Linked DNA regions of Saccharomyces cerevisiae S288C. The protein of the gene in region 2 interacts with the protein of the main gene of each other region in a biochemical or structural test. Each region holds a gene or a part of one and is shown on either strand. Other genes may lie near its edges.

Evidence for each region.
Region 1: the proteins of NRD1 (region 2) and MPP6 are reported together in a solved structure, tested with the Saccharomyces cerevisiae proteins (one study listed by BioGRID).
Region 3: the proteins of NRD1 (region 2) and NAB3 form a complex in vitro, tested with the Saccharomyces cerevisiae proteins (4 studies listed by BioGRID).
Region 4: the proteins of NRD1 (region 2) and FCP1 are reported together in a solved structure, tested with the Saccharomyces cerevisiae proteins (one study listed by BioGRID).

Annotation. Positions count from the first base shown.
Region 1 is NC_001146.8:670,456-673,499, reverse strand, and holds MPP6 (Mpp6p), read right to left. Parts: upstream 1,092-3,044; coding exon 531-1,091; downstream 1-530. Other genes in the region: Sar family guanine nucleotide exchange factor SEC12, read left to right, coding at 1-226; SNF12 (Snf12p), read right to left, coding at 1,382-3,044. UniProt on the Saccharomyces cerevisiae protein: RNA-binding protein that associates with the RNA exosome complex. Involved in surveillance of pre-rRNAs and pre-mRNAs, and the degradation of cryptic non-coding RNAs (ncRNA) derived from intergenic regions and the ribosomal DNA spacer heterochromatin.
Region 2 is NC_001146.8:172,023-176,142, reverse strand, and holds NRD1 (Nrd1 complex RNA-binding subunit), read left to right. Parts: upstream 1-1,827; coding exon 1,828-3,555; downstream 3,556-4,120. Other genes in the region: RAD50 (MRX complex DNA-binding subunit), read right to left, coding at 1-733; mitochondrial 54S ribosomal protein mL46 MRPL17, read left to right, coding at 3,857-4,120. UniProt on the Saccharomyces cerevisiae protein: Plays a role in sequence-specific regulation of nuclear pre-mRNA abundance.
Region 3 is NC_001148.4:184,817-189,453, reverse strand, and holds NAB3 (Nab3p), read left to right. Parts: upstream 1-1,728; coding exon 1,729-4,137; downstream 4,138-4,637. Other genes in the region: GUP2 (putative O-acyltransferase), read right to left, coding at 1-300; COA2 (Coa2p), read left to right, coding at 941-1,147. UniProt on the Saccharomyces cerevisiae protein: May be required for packaging pre-mRNAs into ribonucleoprotein structures amenable to efficient nuclear RNA processing. Binds to poly(A)+ RNA. Appears to act in the maintenance of CLN3 mRNA levels.
Region 4 is NC_001145.3:818,292-823,019, forward strand, and holds FCP1 (protein serine/threonine phosphatase), read left to right. Parts: upstream 1-1,964; coding exon 1,965-4,163; downstream 4,164-4,728. Other genes in the region: ubiquitin-ubiquitin ligase BUL1, read right to left, coding at 1-290; ubiquitin domain-containing protein DSK2, read left to right, coding at 536-1,657; phosphoribomutase PRM15, read left to right, coding at 4,472-4,728. UniProt on the Saccharomyces cerevisiae protein: Processively dephosphorylates 'Ser-2' and 'Ser-5' of the heptad repeats YSPTSPS in the C-terminal domain of the largest RNA polymerase II subunit (RPB1). This promotes the activity of RNA polymerase II.

The DNA.
Region 1 (3,044 bases), 500 kb from region 2:
TTCGCCCTACGTAGTTGATGAAGACTTACATCAAACAACTTTGTTTGGCAACCACGGTACAAAAACATCTGTACCTAGCGTAGATTCCATAAAAGTGCATGGCGTGCATGAGACGAGTTCTGTGAATGGAACTGAAGTCTTATGTACTGAAAGTAACATTATTAATACTGGAGGGGCAGAGTTTGAGATCACCAACGCAACTTTTCGAGAAATAGATGATGCTTGAGCTTGAGAGAAAGTTATGAGGTAGCAATAATGAAGTAGCGAAAAGGAGAGTGACGACACTCAAGCTATGAAAAAAAACGCAAAGATACAAAAACGATCTCAATGATATTGATGATAGAGATTTATCTGATAAATTAGAAGTGGTGTATTTACATGTTTTTGTATATGTTTTGGAATTGAGCGTAATAGAAAGGACGGCAGTCCTTATGGTTTATGACAAATACGAAAAAAATACTACACAATGCTTTATATTATGTTCTCATTATTATATACGAATACGTACTTCTGCTGGTGCATTGTCTGCGCTACTTTTTTGAATTTCTATTTTTATTTTTACCATTATGGTTGGTCTTTTTCTTTTTGATGCTATCCTTAAATAATTTATCTAGGTCATATTCATCCTCTCCATCGTCTTGGCTCCCTGTAAATTCCTTATCCTTAGCATCCCTTTTCTCGTCTTCATTTTGTTCGCCTTCATCAAACTTTCTCTTCCTGGAACCACTATCATCAGAATTATCGCCAAAGGTTTTTCTCCCACTTATCACACCCTCAGGTTTTCGCAGTTCACTGTAACCAACGTTGGAGATTATGAGATTGGGTCGCTTCTTATATACTACTCTTTTCACCTTTTTCTTCTCCTTACCTGAAATTTTTTTTAAATCATCTTTGTAGCTATTGAGGTCCCACGCTGAGTCATCCAGACCAAAGAGTTTACCTTTCTGCTCTATAGGTTCCACATCTGAGTTGATATTAGACGGCGTATTGGAGTTGGAACTCTCTTCGTCATCCGTCTTACCAAATTTCATAAACTTCATATTCATGACTCTACTAGAGAGTTTGCCAGTGACACCATTGTTAGCACTCATTTGTTGCTTTTCCCTTGGTTCCTTATATGCTTATTGTGTTTAAGTGGCCCTCATCTCTACTACTTTTTCATATTCTGAAATTTCCAGTAGAAAATTTTCAGCGCTTTTCTTAGAAAGAGACAATGGAATCAGACAGCCGCCATTACTTGTAGGCGCTATAAACAAATCAGCATTGTCTGTTCGTCTTTAATTATTATAAATGAATGGTGACCTTTCTTTTCCTATCTAGAGTTTATATACAAAGAAAACTACATAAATCTTCAGTCTATTGTGTATCAATGTAAAGAAGCCTACATTCGTCCATTTGATAATATGACTTCTATATTCTCGCGCAACATAGCTTCATTTTCCTTGTAAAAGTTAGCCCGCCTTACCATATCTTCATTATAGCCCTCATCTCCCGATAAAACTTTCAAAGCATTCGAGGTAGAAGCAATGCATTCATTTAATGCTTTAACTGGGTCCTCACTAATTTTCTTGAAGAAACGGTATCGTTTGTTGCTCTCGTGTAGATTCGAGAGAACGGACGTTATTTCTTTGTCCTGTAAAGCTATCTTGGGTTTGATTTGTTCCAATTCCCTGGCATTTTCATTCAATTCAGCAGCCCCAATTTGACTTTCTCTTTGTGTATTATTGAATTTTAGAGCGTTGACATCAGGTACTTCAATATCAAGAACCAACTCACCATAAGTGGAAGCTTTATCAACGCGTACTGTGTAATCAATTTCAATTGGCTGTAATGGGAGCAGGTGAGTACTATTAATAAGGGACAGTAAATCCGTTAATTTCATTGTATCTGGAGAAGATTCTTTAAGACTGCTGGGTAATAAGGTAATAAGCTGAGTGTCTAATTTTACAATAGAAACTTGACTGGAGGCTGCATCAAGCATCTTACTAGTACTGGTGTTGCTATTGTGATTGTTCCTGTTGCCCATCAAATTTTCGAATGCAGACTCATCATTGGTAAGCAATTCATTTAAATGGATGTATTTATATATGGAAAATATTGCATCATGTGATGTACCGCTCTTCAATCCTATTATTGCGGTTAGTTGTGGAGAGTAGCTCATAAATGGCTCTTCTGGGGATGATTTTCGCAGGATGCTTATAGTGCATTCTACATTTTCAGACCCTACCCTCTTAATATCGAGACCATCGAAGTCTACAGGATTATTCGGGTCATACTGCCATTTCACTGATTCTAGTTTTGGAGTTGTAGAACTCATATCCTTTTTGGCAGTCTCCTCCCCCATCGTGGCATTATTTTGGTCGGTATTAGTCGTAGTAGAGTTGTCACCATTCGGCAGTGAAAATTGTAACGGTAAGTTTAAGTTCAATTTCTTATCACTGGGTCCTTCGGTGGCATTTTCTTCAGGGGCCGCATTAAATTTAGTCGATGGCACATTATCGTTTTCCTTATTTTTGAAGTCTACCACTATCGATTCTATGAATGAGCTAAATTTTTCTCTTGCTGGATCATTAGCTTGCACATTGTCCAATAATCGACCTTCGATTCTCATCGTCCAAGTGGCATTCTCCAGTGCCATAAGGTCAGCCTCATTGTTTGTGTCCATTTGCCAGGGTTGGTTTTCACTAACATTTGAAATGAAGATTCGGAGAAATTTTACATTTGGAAAATTTAAATGAGGATAAAGAAACTCTTGGGATAGCTTTGACCTCTCCCACTGCGCAACCATTCGCTTCATATGTAAGTTTCGCAGATGAATAAAATGATCTAATCTTTTCTCGGAATCCACCAGTTGTTGGAAAGAATACAGCTCAGGAATCAATTCGGCTAAATGGTCAGGGATAACCATATCTGATGGATGAGAATGTGGCACTGTTGGCGTAATTTGAGAAGCATTATTTGCTTTATCTTGGTTCACCGGATCCTTTTTCTTTGCATGAAAGAAATTTTTAGTATCAGGTGTGGCTGCTTTTGAACTCTTTCTA
Region 2 (4,120 bases):
ATTCAATTTCAGACACTTCTTCATTATACTGATCTATCTTAGTTTGCAATTGGTGGATATTGAGCTTCATTGCTTTCGATCTGTCTTTATCCAACTTTAAGTGTTCTACTGATTGCTTTAATAACTTGATATCCACGGACATGTCTTTCTTTATGGATTTTAAATTGTCTAGAGCCTTTGTAAATTTCATCGCTTGGAAAATTTCATCAAACTTCTTTTTAAGATTGGATGGTTCACTCAGTGGCCACAGGCTGTCTTCTTGGTGACAGAATATCACGTATTCCAAGATCGCTTTTGGAACTCCCAGATACAGGGGTACTTGTGCGTCTAATTCCAGAGACCGGGTGGACAAAGTACTGCGGTCACCACTATTATTTATAGCGACCAACTGGCCTTCTAAAGTCTTAAATGTAGTAGTAGTCTTTTTCATTAGCAACTGAATATTTCTGGTGACAATCATATTGAGTCCATTGGCACTCGTAAACGCCAGTTTGACCTGAGCTCTAATGTCCTTTTCACCAGTTATCTTCGGGTCATGAATGAATACTCCTCCCTTGCTGTTGGGCGGTAGATCACCTGTGGTAGCGTACTTTAAACATTCGATGATAGTCGTTTTACCTGAACCATTCATGCCGACTATTAAAGTCAGAGGCTTGCCAAATTCAATAGTTTCCCTATCATTGGAGTCAAAAGACCGTATGCCCTGAATAGATAATTTATAGATAGCGCTCATGCCTGCTTTCCGTCGTTCCCTTGTTTTTGCCTCTCAATGGTTGCTACCACTTCTTAGAATTAAAGATTTCCATTTAAAGATCAAAGCTTGAAAGCCGCTTTAGAAGCGATGAGGCAAGAACAAAGGCAACAAACAGGGACAAGATGAAAACCGGAACCTTATCTCAGATGAAGACAAACGAGGTGAAGGCATTTTTTTTTTTTGACTAAGTTAGATTAATATTTGCATTGTCATATGGGTGGGTTCTACTGCAGTTACTAGCGCACGAGACAAGGCAAAGCCGTGAAAGTATTGCAAGATGCATGGTTATTATTCTCCGAAAATAATAAGTGAAGGATTGTAACATTACCGCAAGTATTAGTATTGTAAGTGGAAGTACTATCGGTTTCTTGTTTCAATGAATAGCACCAGAAACGCAAAAAATCTACAATTAGTTTATGGTCGAAATGAGCTACTGCGCACGTATAGCGCATTGTTTCCTATTCTACTAAAGTCCGCAATACATAATTCTATCGAGTACTCAAAAACATTATGCTTTTGATGGCTTGTTAGATATCCTTATGACCACTAACCTGAAATTGAGCAAATTCATTGGAAAGTCGGCGGCAAAAATAAATGTTTCGTCTTTGGTGATTTATTGGTCATTACATACGGTACATTTTTGATTTTTTTTTTTGCCACCGGTCGGAGCGGAGGAGGTGAAAAAGAAAAAGTATAAAAGGGCAAGTGTTTCGTCCTTCCTCCATGTTCCATTCCTCGTTAGCATGACTCCCCGCTCCTTCCCTTTACGAGTTTCATGCTTTTAACATATCAAAAGTCAGTACTCGGCAACCTTATTGTATCGTTTTCGTATCGTATCGCATCGTATTATCGTATTGTACACAACTAACTCACCAATCAAGGCTCTTCTTACAATTAGTTACGTTACCGTATCCATTGCTACAACCTATAATTTCAAGCAAAAGAAAAATATACTATTGTCTATTTTTTTGTATTGTAGTTTTCTCTGATTACACATTTTTTCTAGTACTTTTCTCCAAGCACGAGTTACAGGAAAGGAACCGGAAAGCAACAAACATACTAAACATCCCATAATGCAGCAGGACGACGATTTTCAAAATTTTGTAGCTACCTTGGAATCATTCAAAGATTTGAAATCTGGTATTTCAGGTTCTCGTATTAAGAAACTAACCACTTACGCACTTGATCACATTGATATTGAATCGAAAATCATATCTTTGATAATAGACTACTCAAGACTTTGTCCCGATTCTCATAAATTAGGTTCTTTATATATCATCGATTCAATAGGTAGAGCTTACTTGGATGAAACAAGATCAAATTCAAACAGCAGCAGCAACAAACCCGGTACTTGTGCCCATGCCATAAACACGTTGGGCGAAGTAATTCAAGAACTGCTATCCGATGCTATTGCAAAAAGTAATCAAGACCACAAGGAAAAAATTCGTATGCTTTTAGACATTTGGGACAGGTCCGGCTTGTTTCAAAAGAGTTACTTGAACGCCATCAGGTCAAAATGCTTTGCTATGGACATATCGAATAACACCGCGAACACCGCTTCACAACAACTATCACTGGATCCCAAGCAGAGGTCGAAACAAATCTTGTCAAATCTAAAGAAAAGTCCTCCTTTAAACTTGAACATAAGTCTTCCAACTGATTTGACTTCCACAGATCCAGCCAAACAGCAAGCAGCTCTTTTCCAAGTAATAGCGGCTCTGCAGAAACATTTTAAAACTTTGCCTTCACATACATCCGTGGGTACAGTCGCACCTCCCCAAGCCCATACAATTACCGAATATGGTAGCAGACGTGAACGTGAACGTGAAAGAGAAAGATATAACTCAAGAAGGAATAGATCAAGATCTCCTCCGGCACCATTTTCTCAGCCATCGACAGGCAGGAAGGACCGCTATCCATCTGTGGCCCAGGACCAATACAGCATAGGCGCCCCCAATACGACATTTGGCACAAACAATCACCACTTATACCCCGATGAGCTTAATGTTTCCAATAATCCTCATTATAGACCAAAACCAGTAAGTTACGACTCTACATTGCCACCAGATCATATTAAAGTCTACAGCCGTACTCTTTTCATCGGTGGGGTACCACTAAACATGAAGGAATGGGACCTTGCTAACGTTTTAAAACCTTTTGCTGAAGTACAAAGCGTCATTCTGAATAACTCCAGAAAACACGCTTTTGTGAAAGTTTATTCAAGACATGAGGCCGAAAATGTTTTGCAAAACTTCAATAAAGATGGAGCCCTGCCATTGAGAACTAGGTGGGGAGTTGGTTTTGGTCCAAGAGATTGTTGTGACTATCAACACGGTTACAGTATTATTCCTATGCACAGGCTCACGGACGCTGATAAAAAATGGTCAGTAAGTGCGCAATGGGGTGGCACTTCTGGTCAACCTCTCGTTACCGGTATTGTTTTCGAAGAACCGGATATTATCGTTGGTGAAGGTGTTTCTTCCAAGGCAATATCTCAAAAGATGCCTACTGATTCTGGCAGAAATGGGCCACGTTCTGGTAAACCTAACAAATCTGGTAGCATATCGTCGATATCTCCAGTACCCTACGGCAATGCACCATTGGCATCTCCTCCACCACAGCAATATGTGCAACCTATGATGCAGCAACCGTATGGTTATGCCCCCAACCAACCATTACCTTCTCAGGGACCTGCCGCAGCGGCTCCCCCTGTACCTCAGCAACAATTTGACCCCACTGCTCAATTGAATTCTTTGATGAATATGCTTAACCAACAGCAGCAGCAACAACAACAAAGCTAAGATCTTTACTCCACCCTTTATTTGCTCATAGTACATAAAACTAATCTACCTCTATATATAATTTCTGTTTTTTCCTATGTTCCTTTTTTTTTTTTGTTAAATGGACATCCTTATGTATTCACATAACTACTGTGTTTCAAATGTAGCATTATCCTATTCTTTATTCTCTTTTTTTACCGTATTCCTGGTTTTTTTTCAAGGTTTAGATGAAAATGAAAATGAAAAAAAAAAAAGGAAAGAAAACAGTTAAACAATCAATAAACTTTATATTCTACGTAATCATAAGCGCTTATCCAGTACCATGAAGGTAAATTTAATGTTGAAAAGAGGGCTTGCTACTGCAACTGCAACTGCCAGTTCCGCTCCCCCCAAGATTAAAGTCGGAGTACTACTGTCAAGAATCCCTATAATTAAATCAGAATTAAATGAACTAGAGAAAAAATACTATGAGTACCAATCAGAACTAGAAAAGAGACTAATGTGGACGTTTCCGGCATATTTTTATTTCAAAAAGGGTACTGTAGCAGAACACAAATTTCTATCCCTGCAGAAAGGACCTATCTCC
Region 3 (4,637 bases), on a different chromosome or scaffold from region 2:
ATTAGACTCGGAGCTCGTAGCCAATGCCGCCTTTATCATGAAAGGAACTACTACGGTGAACGCCAAATAATATAGTCTAAATTCCCATGTATTCCATAGCGGAGGAGATGGGCTATTAGAGCTGAGCACAGGGTTACGGGTAACAGTAACGGCACTAGAAGATGAACCATTCTCTTCTTTAGATGAATTGATAAATATCCTTTGTCGCCTTTTGAATTCAATGTCTGGCTTTATTCGTGAATCAAGTGCCTGCACGGAAAAGAAATGTACGATGCAACTCCAGATTCTTAACATCGACATCTGACTTGTAGCGATGACGTCAATTATTTTTGAGCCCTATAATAAGGTAGTTGAGAAGACAAATTTGAAGCACCCAAAAACCCTCAAAACAGTACCTACCTCAAAGCTAGCTTCTCTTTCTTCTTCTATTTGACTTCATTTTTTCCATATTCACCATTGGTACCTTCCATAAACAACTATAACGCAGTACAAATGAAAAAAGAAGAAAAAAAAAAGAAAAAAAAAGAGACCTAAACGCGCCAAGATTACAGGTAAACGAGTAGAACTTTGATCTATGTGCCTGAAAACCCCTCGGGCACAGGGTTCATAACGAAAAAAAAAAAATCGTAAGTAATGGTAACCATAGTAACCGATGCATGGGTTTTAAAAGTCACGTGCTTAAGTCCATTAAGACCGGAAACCTCTACACCAGTTCTCCTTCTGCAAGGGTTTTCTTTTTTTATTTTTTTTGATGGGATGGCTCTCTTTCCCCGTGTTTGTACTTTTGATATATATAGGATATTCATCAAAACAGCGTTTCGAACTCAGCGCTTGCACGATAACATAAGCACCTCGAGACACATTAGGAAAATTTAACATCCTATTTATTTATTGAATTTACAGGCACGGAAGGCCAATTAGTTTAATTCAGACACATATCATGAGAGCAGTCACTAGAAACAAAATAGTCAATAACCTATACTTTTCTACATTTCTCATTGCATTCGCATCAGTGGCCATCGGTTCTGTGCTGCCATGTCCAGCACATTCAGTGGATTCTGATTCACCAGCTGTACAGCAACACAAGCTTCAGCTTGCTCATGAGCAGGAGTTAAAGAGGAAGGATGCTTTAAGTAAAAAGATTTAAACAGGTACGGGCTATCTGGAACTTTTGATAAGTTGTATTCTATCTCTTTTATTTCCTCTTTTTATTTATTTTCGAGTGCCGTAATCTTCGCTACTTCAAGTTTCATAATCAATCGACTTTCTGTATGGGTAAGCATCTGGTGTGATGCAGTTTCATTATGACACCACAAATACAAAAGAGACTATTTAAATATGTATATAGATCACATTCCAAAAAAGAAAACCATTAATAATATCACTCTTTAATATTCCAAATTGAAACGAAAAAGCGCTATTCTTATTCGCTTCCTAACTACCGCCCTAGTTCGTGCTTGCATTTTTTTGTAGAACGATAAATTATGGTATCCCACGTGATTGAGTGTAACCCTGAATTGTTGAAGAGAAAATGAAGCGGAAGAAGCAAAGGACAAAAAACAATTCATTTGATTTTGCCACTTCTAAATGAAGGTCTAATAAAAGCTATCTTGAGCATCTTTATTAGATTCTGCACAGCAACAAGCGATTTTCTTTGGTCAAAATATAATAATTGACTTACGTTTTTCCCGGACTGTCCTTTCATAATATAATAACCATCTGCAAGCCATGTCAGATGAAAACCATAACAGTGATGTTCAAGATATTCCTTCACCTGAACTATCCGTCGATAGTAACTCTAACGAGAATGAATTGATGAATAACTCAAGCGCAGACGATGGAATCGAATTTGACGCCCCAGAGGAAGAAAGAGAAGCCGAAAGGGAGGAGGAAAATGAAGAACAACACGAACTGGAAGATGTGAACGATGAAGAGGAGGAAGATAAGGAGGAAAAAGGAGAGGAAAACGGGGAAGTAATAAACACAGAAGAAGAAGAAGAAGAAGAACATCAACAAAAAGGCGGAAATGATGATGACGATGATGATAATGAAGAGGAAGAAGAGGAAGAAGAGGATGATGACGATGATGATGATGACGACGATGATGATGAAGAAGAAGAAGAAGAAGAAGAAGAAGAAGGCAACGACAACAGTTCGGTAGGCTCAGATAGTGCCGCTGAAGACGGTGAGGATGAGGAAGACAAAAAGGATAAAACCAAAGATAAAGAGGTCGAACTTCGCCGTGAAACATTGGAAAAAGAACAAAAGGACGTAGATGAAGCTATAAAAAAAATAACTCGTGAAGAAAATGATAATACTCACTTTCCAACTAATATGGAAAATGTTAATTACGATCTTTTACAAAAGCAAGTCAAGTACATTATGGACAGTAACATGCTAAATTTGCCTCAGTTTCAACATTTACCTCAAGAAGAAAAGATGTCTGCGATTTTAGCAATGTTAAATTCAAATTCTGACACAGCTCTTTCCGTACCTCCTCATGATAGTACTATCTCAACAACAGCTAGCGCCTCAGCCACAAGCGGCGCAAGAAGCAATGATCAAAGAAAACCTCCATTGTCAGATGCCCAAAGACGTATGAGATTTCCTAGGGCGGATTTATCTAAGCCGATTACCGAAGAAGAACACGACCGTTATGCAGCCTATTTGCACGGTGAAAATAAAATCACCGAGATGCACAATATTCCTCCGAAGTCAAGATTATTCATTGGTAATTTGCCGCTAAAGAACGTTTCTAAGGAGGATTTATTTAGGATTTTCTCTCCATACGGTCATATCATGCAAATCAATATCAAAAATGCCTTTGGATTCATTCAGTTTGACAACCCTCAAAGCGTTAGAGATGCAATTGAATGCGAGTCTCAAGAAATGAACTTTGGCAAAAAGTTGATCCTGGAAGTTTCTAGCTCGAATGCTCGTCCTCAATTTGATCATGGTGATCACGGTACAAACAGTAGTTCTACTTTTATTTCTTCCGCAAAACGACCATTTCAAACTGAATCTGGTGACATGTACAATGACGACAATGGTGCTGGCTACAAGAAATCCAGAAGACACACCGTTTCTTGCAACATTTTCGTTAAAAGAACCGCAGATCGTACGTATGCCATTGAGGTTTTCAACAGGTTTAGGGACGGGACTGGTTTGGAAACTGATATGATTTTCTTGAAACCAAGAATGGAACTGGGAAAGCTTATCAATGATGCCGCATATAATGGGGTGTGGGGCGTTGTTTTAGTTAATAAAACACACAATGTAGATGTTCAAACTTTCTACAAAGGCTCACAAGGTGAAACGAAATTTGATGAATATATTAGCATATCCGCTGATGACGCAGTTGCCATTTTTAATAACATCAAAAACAACAGAAATAATTCTCGTCCTACTGATTACCGTGCTATGAGCCATCAGCAAAACATATATGGCGCTCCTCCTCTTCCTGTTCCAAACGGCCCAGCTGTCGGACCTCCTCCTCAAACAAACTATTACCAGGGTTACAGTATGCCTCCTCCACAACAACAACAGCAACAGCCATATGGTAATTATGGGATGCCACCACCATCCCATGACCAAGGATATGGTTCTCAACCTCCAATTCCAATGAATCAGAGCTACGGTCGCTACCAGACTTCTATTCCACCACCACCTCCACAACAACAAATTCCTCAAGGGTATGGTCGTTATCAGGCTGGTCCGCCTCCTCAACCACCTTCTCAAACTCCAATGGACCAGCAACAACTATTATCTGCCATTCAAAACCTTCCACCTAACGTTGTATCGAATTTGCTTTCAATGGCCCAACAACAGCAACAACAACCTCATGCTCAGCAGCAATTGGTTGGTTTAATACAATCAATGCAAGGCCAGGCTCCTCAACAACAGCAACAACAGTTGGGTGGATATTCCTCTATGAACTCATCCTCTCCCCCTCCTATGAGTACCAATTACAATGGTCAAAATATATCTGCAAAACCCTCTGCCCCACCAATGTCACACCAACCTCCGCCACCTCAACAACAACAACAACAACAACAACAGCAACAGCAACAGCAACAGCAACCTGCTGGCAATAATGTTCAAAGTCTATTAGATAGTTTAGCAAAACTACAAAAATAGACTCCCTTTTTTCAATCTTTTCCATTTCTTGTACATTATACTTGAATTCTTTTAATTGGACGAAAAATTTTTAAGGAAAGTAGATTGATATGGTTTGCATAAATTCGACATAGCGGTTTATGCTTTAATCGTTTTCCCTTCCCAAATTGGACTAGGACTTAATTCTTACTATTGCTGCATCTCTTTCAGAACGAAAAACTCTTTACCCTGTTATAAATTTCTTTTATTTCTTCCTTATCAAATGCTATTTGGTCTATTTATTTCACTTACACGCACCTCTTCATTTGTTTCCTCTGCCAAGAGAATGGCTTTTCATTTCTTTTTCTTCTCTTTAGTTAAATGTTCTTATATCAAAACTTTGTAAAATTGCTTTGTAAACAGATTATTAAGTACCGCTCTATTTACCCCATAACGAAAAGAAGTTCCGCGCTTAGGACACCTTTCCCTAGAGGTTCTTGTTTGATTTGTTTTAGTCATCTGCCTGTCGTTTATTTTAGTTT
Region 4 (4,728 bases), on a different chromosome or scaffold from region 2:
CCAGCAGGCGTTCCGGTGGAAGGAGCATGCGAATGAGAATGTGCTAGTTCGGGACGTCTTAGTCCAAGGATCCCCGTAGCAGACGCGCTTCTTATCCATGATTTTGGAGAGTGTAACGACGGTGACCTCGAACTGCCTTTACCACCCTCTTGTTTCTGCCTACCACGCCCCCTTGTGTTTGCATTAACGTTCATAGTTGTCGAACTATTTGCGGTAAAATCAGATCGTTGAGGACGCAGCAAAGGCTTCCTCTTCGGTGGAAACCCCGAATCGTTCAAATCTTTGGCCATTTAGCGTACGATATACCTGTTGACACACACGAACAGTCTCTTTTCGCCCTTGCTAAGAGCTTCTTTCCATAATCACTATGCGGCTCTTCATTGCAATACTTTTATCATTATTAAAATAGCCTCTGAGAGCGGGTCACGGCCCGCTGAAGGGAAAGAACAATTTAAAGCCAGTTTTAAGTTCAATCCACCGATGGACGAGAGGCAAATAAGACGGATCAAAGACACCGAATCATTCTAGCACGATAATGTCGTTGAATATACATATCAAGTCAGGACAAGACAAGTGGGAAGTAAATGTGGCACCTGAAAGCACAGTGTTGCAATTCAAGGAGGCGATAAACAAAGCGAACGGTATCCCGGTGGCAAATCAGAGATTGATCTACTCGGGTAAGATTTTAAAGGACGACCAAACCGTGGAGTCATACCACATTCAAGACGGTCACAGCGTCCATCTGGTCAAGTCACAACCCAAACCACAAACCGCCAGTGCCGCTGGCGCAAATAACGCCACCGCCACCGGTGCAGCAGCTGGCACTGGCGCCACCCCGAACATGTCGTCAGGTCAAAGTGCAGGCTTCAATCCGCTGGCCGACTTGACCAGTGCCAGATACGCTGGATATTTGAATATGCCATCTGCAGACATGTTTGGCCCGGACGGTGGTGCATTAAACAACGACTCGAATAACCAAGACGAGCTGTTGAGGATGATGGAAAACCCCATCTTCCAATCGCAAATGAACGAGATGTTGAGTAACCCTCAGATGTTGGACTTTATGATCCAGTCCAACCCGCAATTGCAGGCCATGGGTCCACAAGCCAGGCAAATGCTACAAAGTCCCATGTTTAGACAGATGCTCACCAATCCTGATATGATTAGACAGAGCATGCAATTCGCAAGAATGATGGACCCTAATGCCGGTATGGGCTCTGCAGGTGGGGCTGCCTCTGCCTTCCCCGCTCCTGGTGGCGATGCTCCAGAGGAAGGCTCCAACACGAACACTACTTCCTCATCCAACACAGGGAACAACGCAGGGACTAATGCAGGTACCAACGCAGGCGCTAACACAGCTGCAAACCCATTTGCGTCTCTTCTGAACCCTGCATTAAACCCCTTTGCTAACGCGGGAAACGCTGCATCCACCGGGATGCCCGCCTTCGATCCTGCATTGCTAGCGTCTATGTTCCAACCCCCTGTACAAGCATCTCAAGCAGAAGACACCAGACCACCGGAAGAACGCTATGAACATCAATTAAGACAACTAAACGACATGGGCTTCTTCGATTTCGATAGAAACGTCGCAGCCCTCAGGAGAAGCGGTGGCTCCGTCCAAGGCGCTCTTGATTCACTACTGAACGGCGATGTTTAAATAAACGTCTAGATGCCGCAACCTATATACTTTTACCCTACTCTATCGGCATATATTTAATCTACGTATTACATGTATCCATCAATAATATCATCATAATATCTGGACACTTTTGGAAGACGCGCCCTTGCGAAAGAAAAAAAAAAATTTTCGTTTCACACCTACAGTAATAAACACATAATAACAACGAGCTAATCATCCCAATCAATCACCCCTTCCCCCTTTAATTAGCAGCCAGGGTACTGTATTTAGTCATATAGCGGTACTTGCATTGACCGCGAACGTGTAAACACAAGCAAAGCAGATTATGACCACACAAATAAGGTCTCCCCAAGGCTTGCCGTATCCGATTCAGATCGATAAACTCATTCCAAGCGTAGGTTCGTACCTTCATGAGGGTGATAGGTTGCTTGTCTATAAGTTCTGGTATTTGGTGGAAAGGGCCTCAGACACTGGTGACGATGATAACGAGCACGATGTTTCCCCCGGCGGCAGCGCCGGAAGTAATGGTGTCTCTCCGCCAACCAAACAACTGCGTGAATCCATAGAATTCTTCGAAAGTCCCTACGAGGGGGACTTGATTAGTTGGAATGTAGACGTAGGAGATGAAGTAGCCACTGCTAACCAAGTGATTTGCGAAATAAAAAGGCCATGTAACCATGACATCGTGTATGGCGGGCTATGTACTCAATGCGGGAAAGAAGTTTCTGCAGATGCCTTCGATGGTGTACCACTAGACGTTGTCGGGGACGTGGATTTACAGATTAGCGAGACAGAAGCCATTAGAACAGGCAAGGCATTGAAGGAGCATTTGCGACGGGATAAGAAACTTATCTTAGTGGTGGATTTAGATCAAACCATCATCCATTGTGGCGTGGACCCTACGATTGCAGAGTGGAAGAACGACCCCAATAATCCGAATTTTGAAACATTAAGAGACGTCAAGAGCTTTACGTTGGATGAGGAGTTAGTACTCCCACTTATGTACATGAATGACGATGGTTCTATGCTGAGACCGCCTCCCGTAAGAAAATGTTGGTACTACGTGAAGGTAAGGCCCGGTTTAAAGGAATTTTTCGCTAAAGTGGCGCCTCTTTTTGAAATGCATATCTACACAATGGCTACAAGGGCTTATGCCTTGCAAATTGCCAAAATCGTGGACCCTACGGGCGAATTGTTTGGCGATAGAATTCTGTCGCGTGATGAAAATGGGTCTCTAACAACTAAATCATTAGCTAAACTTTTCCCCACTGACCAGTCAATGGTTGTAGTTATTGACGACAGAGGTGATGTTTGGAATTGGTGTCCAAACTTGATCAAAGTTGTTCCTTATAACTTCTTCGTTGGTGTAGGTGACATTAATTCTAATTTCTTGCCCAAACAATCTACAGGAATGCTACAACTAGGGAGGAAGACAAGACAGAAGAGCCAAGAATCTCAGGAACTGCTGACGGATATTATGGATAACGAAAAAAAACTACAAGAAAAGATAGATAAAGAAGTTAAACGCCAAGAAGAAAAATTGAACCATCAACTGGCGACTGCTGAGGAGCCTCCTGCGAACGAATCCAAAGAAGAGTTGACCAAGAAACTAGAATATTCAGCATCTTTAGAAGTCCAACAACAAAATCGACCCTTGGCCAAACTACAAAAACACCTGCATGATCAAAAACTACTAGTTGATGACGATGATGAACTATACTACTTAATGGGTACGCTATCAAACATTCACAAAACTTATTATGATATGCTCTCACAACAAAATGAGCCAGAACCAAATCTGATGGAAATCATACCAAGTTTGAAGCAAAAAGTCTTCCAAAATTGCTATTTTGTTTTTTCAGGATTAATACCCCTCGGGACCGATATTCAAAGGTCGGACATAGTGATATGGACGAGTACATTTGGTGCCACTTCCACTCCAGATATAGATTACCTGACGACACATTTAATCACCAAGAACCCTAGCACTTATAAAGCGCGTCTAGCGAAAAAGTTCAACCCACAGATTAAAATTGTTCACCCAGATTGGATATTTGAGTGTTTGGTAAATTGGAAAAAGGTGGATGAAAAACCCTACACGTTAATCGTGGACAGCCCCATCTCCGACGAGGAATTACAAAACTTTCAAACACAATTACAAAAAAGACAAGAATATCTGGAGGAGACCCAGGAACAACAGCATATGTTGACATCACAAGAAAATCTAAATTTATTCGCTGCTGGTACTTCATGGTTAAACAATGACGACGATGAAGATATTCCGGACACAGCTAGCGACGACGACGAAGATGACGACCACGACGACGAAAGTGATGACGAAAACAACTCGGAAGGCATTGACAGAAAGAGGAGCATCGAGGACAATCATGATGATACATCACAAAAGAAGACCAAGGCGGAACCTTCTCAAGATGGTCCTGTACAACATAAAGGAGAAGGGGATGACAACGAAGACAGCGATTCGCAGTTGGAGGAAGAGTTGATGGATATGCTGGATGATTAGCAGCTCAGATGCCGTATCTTTCCACACATTTTCCTCATTGGTCTTTGTACCTATAATTGTTCATATTATATATACGTTTGTAACAAATCGATAAATAGCAACAATATTTTTGCTTATTTTGATATCCTGAAATCCTTTTTTTTTTTTTTTTTTTTTTTTTTTTTTTTTTGATTTCATTTCGTTTTTTTTTTTTGAACATTATATATTGTATTGTTTTCTCCCTGTAGCGAGAACTAATTGATTCTTTCTCCTTTCCCCCTAAATACTCAACAGTACTCTCGAGCCATTAGCTGCTGCAATTTCAAAAAATGTTGCAAGGAATTTTAGAAACCGTACCATCTGACTTGAAAGATCCGATATCATTATGGTTTAAGCAAGACCGCAACCCAAAAACTATAGAAGAGGTCACCGCTCTCTGCAAAAAATCCGACTGGAATGAGTTACACAAAAGATTTGATTCTAGAATTCAGTTTGGCACTGCTGGTTTAAGATCGCAAATGCAAGCTGGCTTTAGCAGGATGAATACTTTAGTAGTCATACAAGCGTCTCAGGGATTGGCAACTTA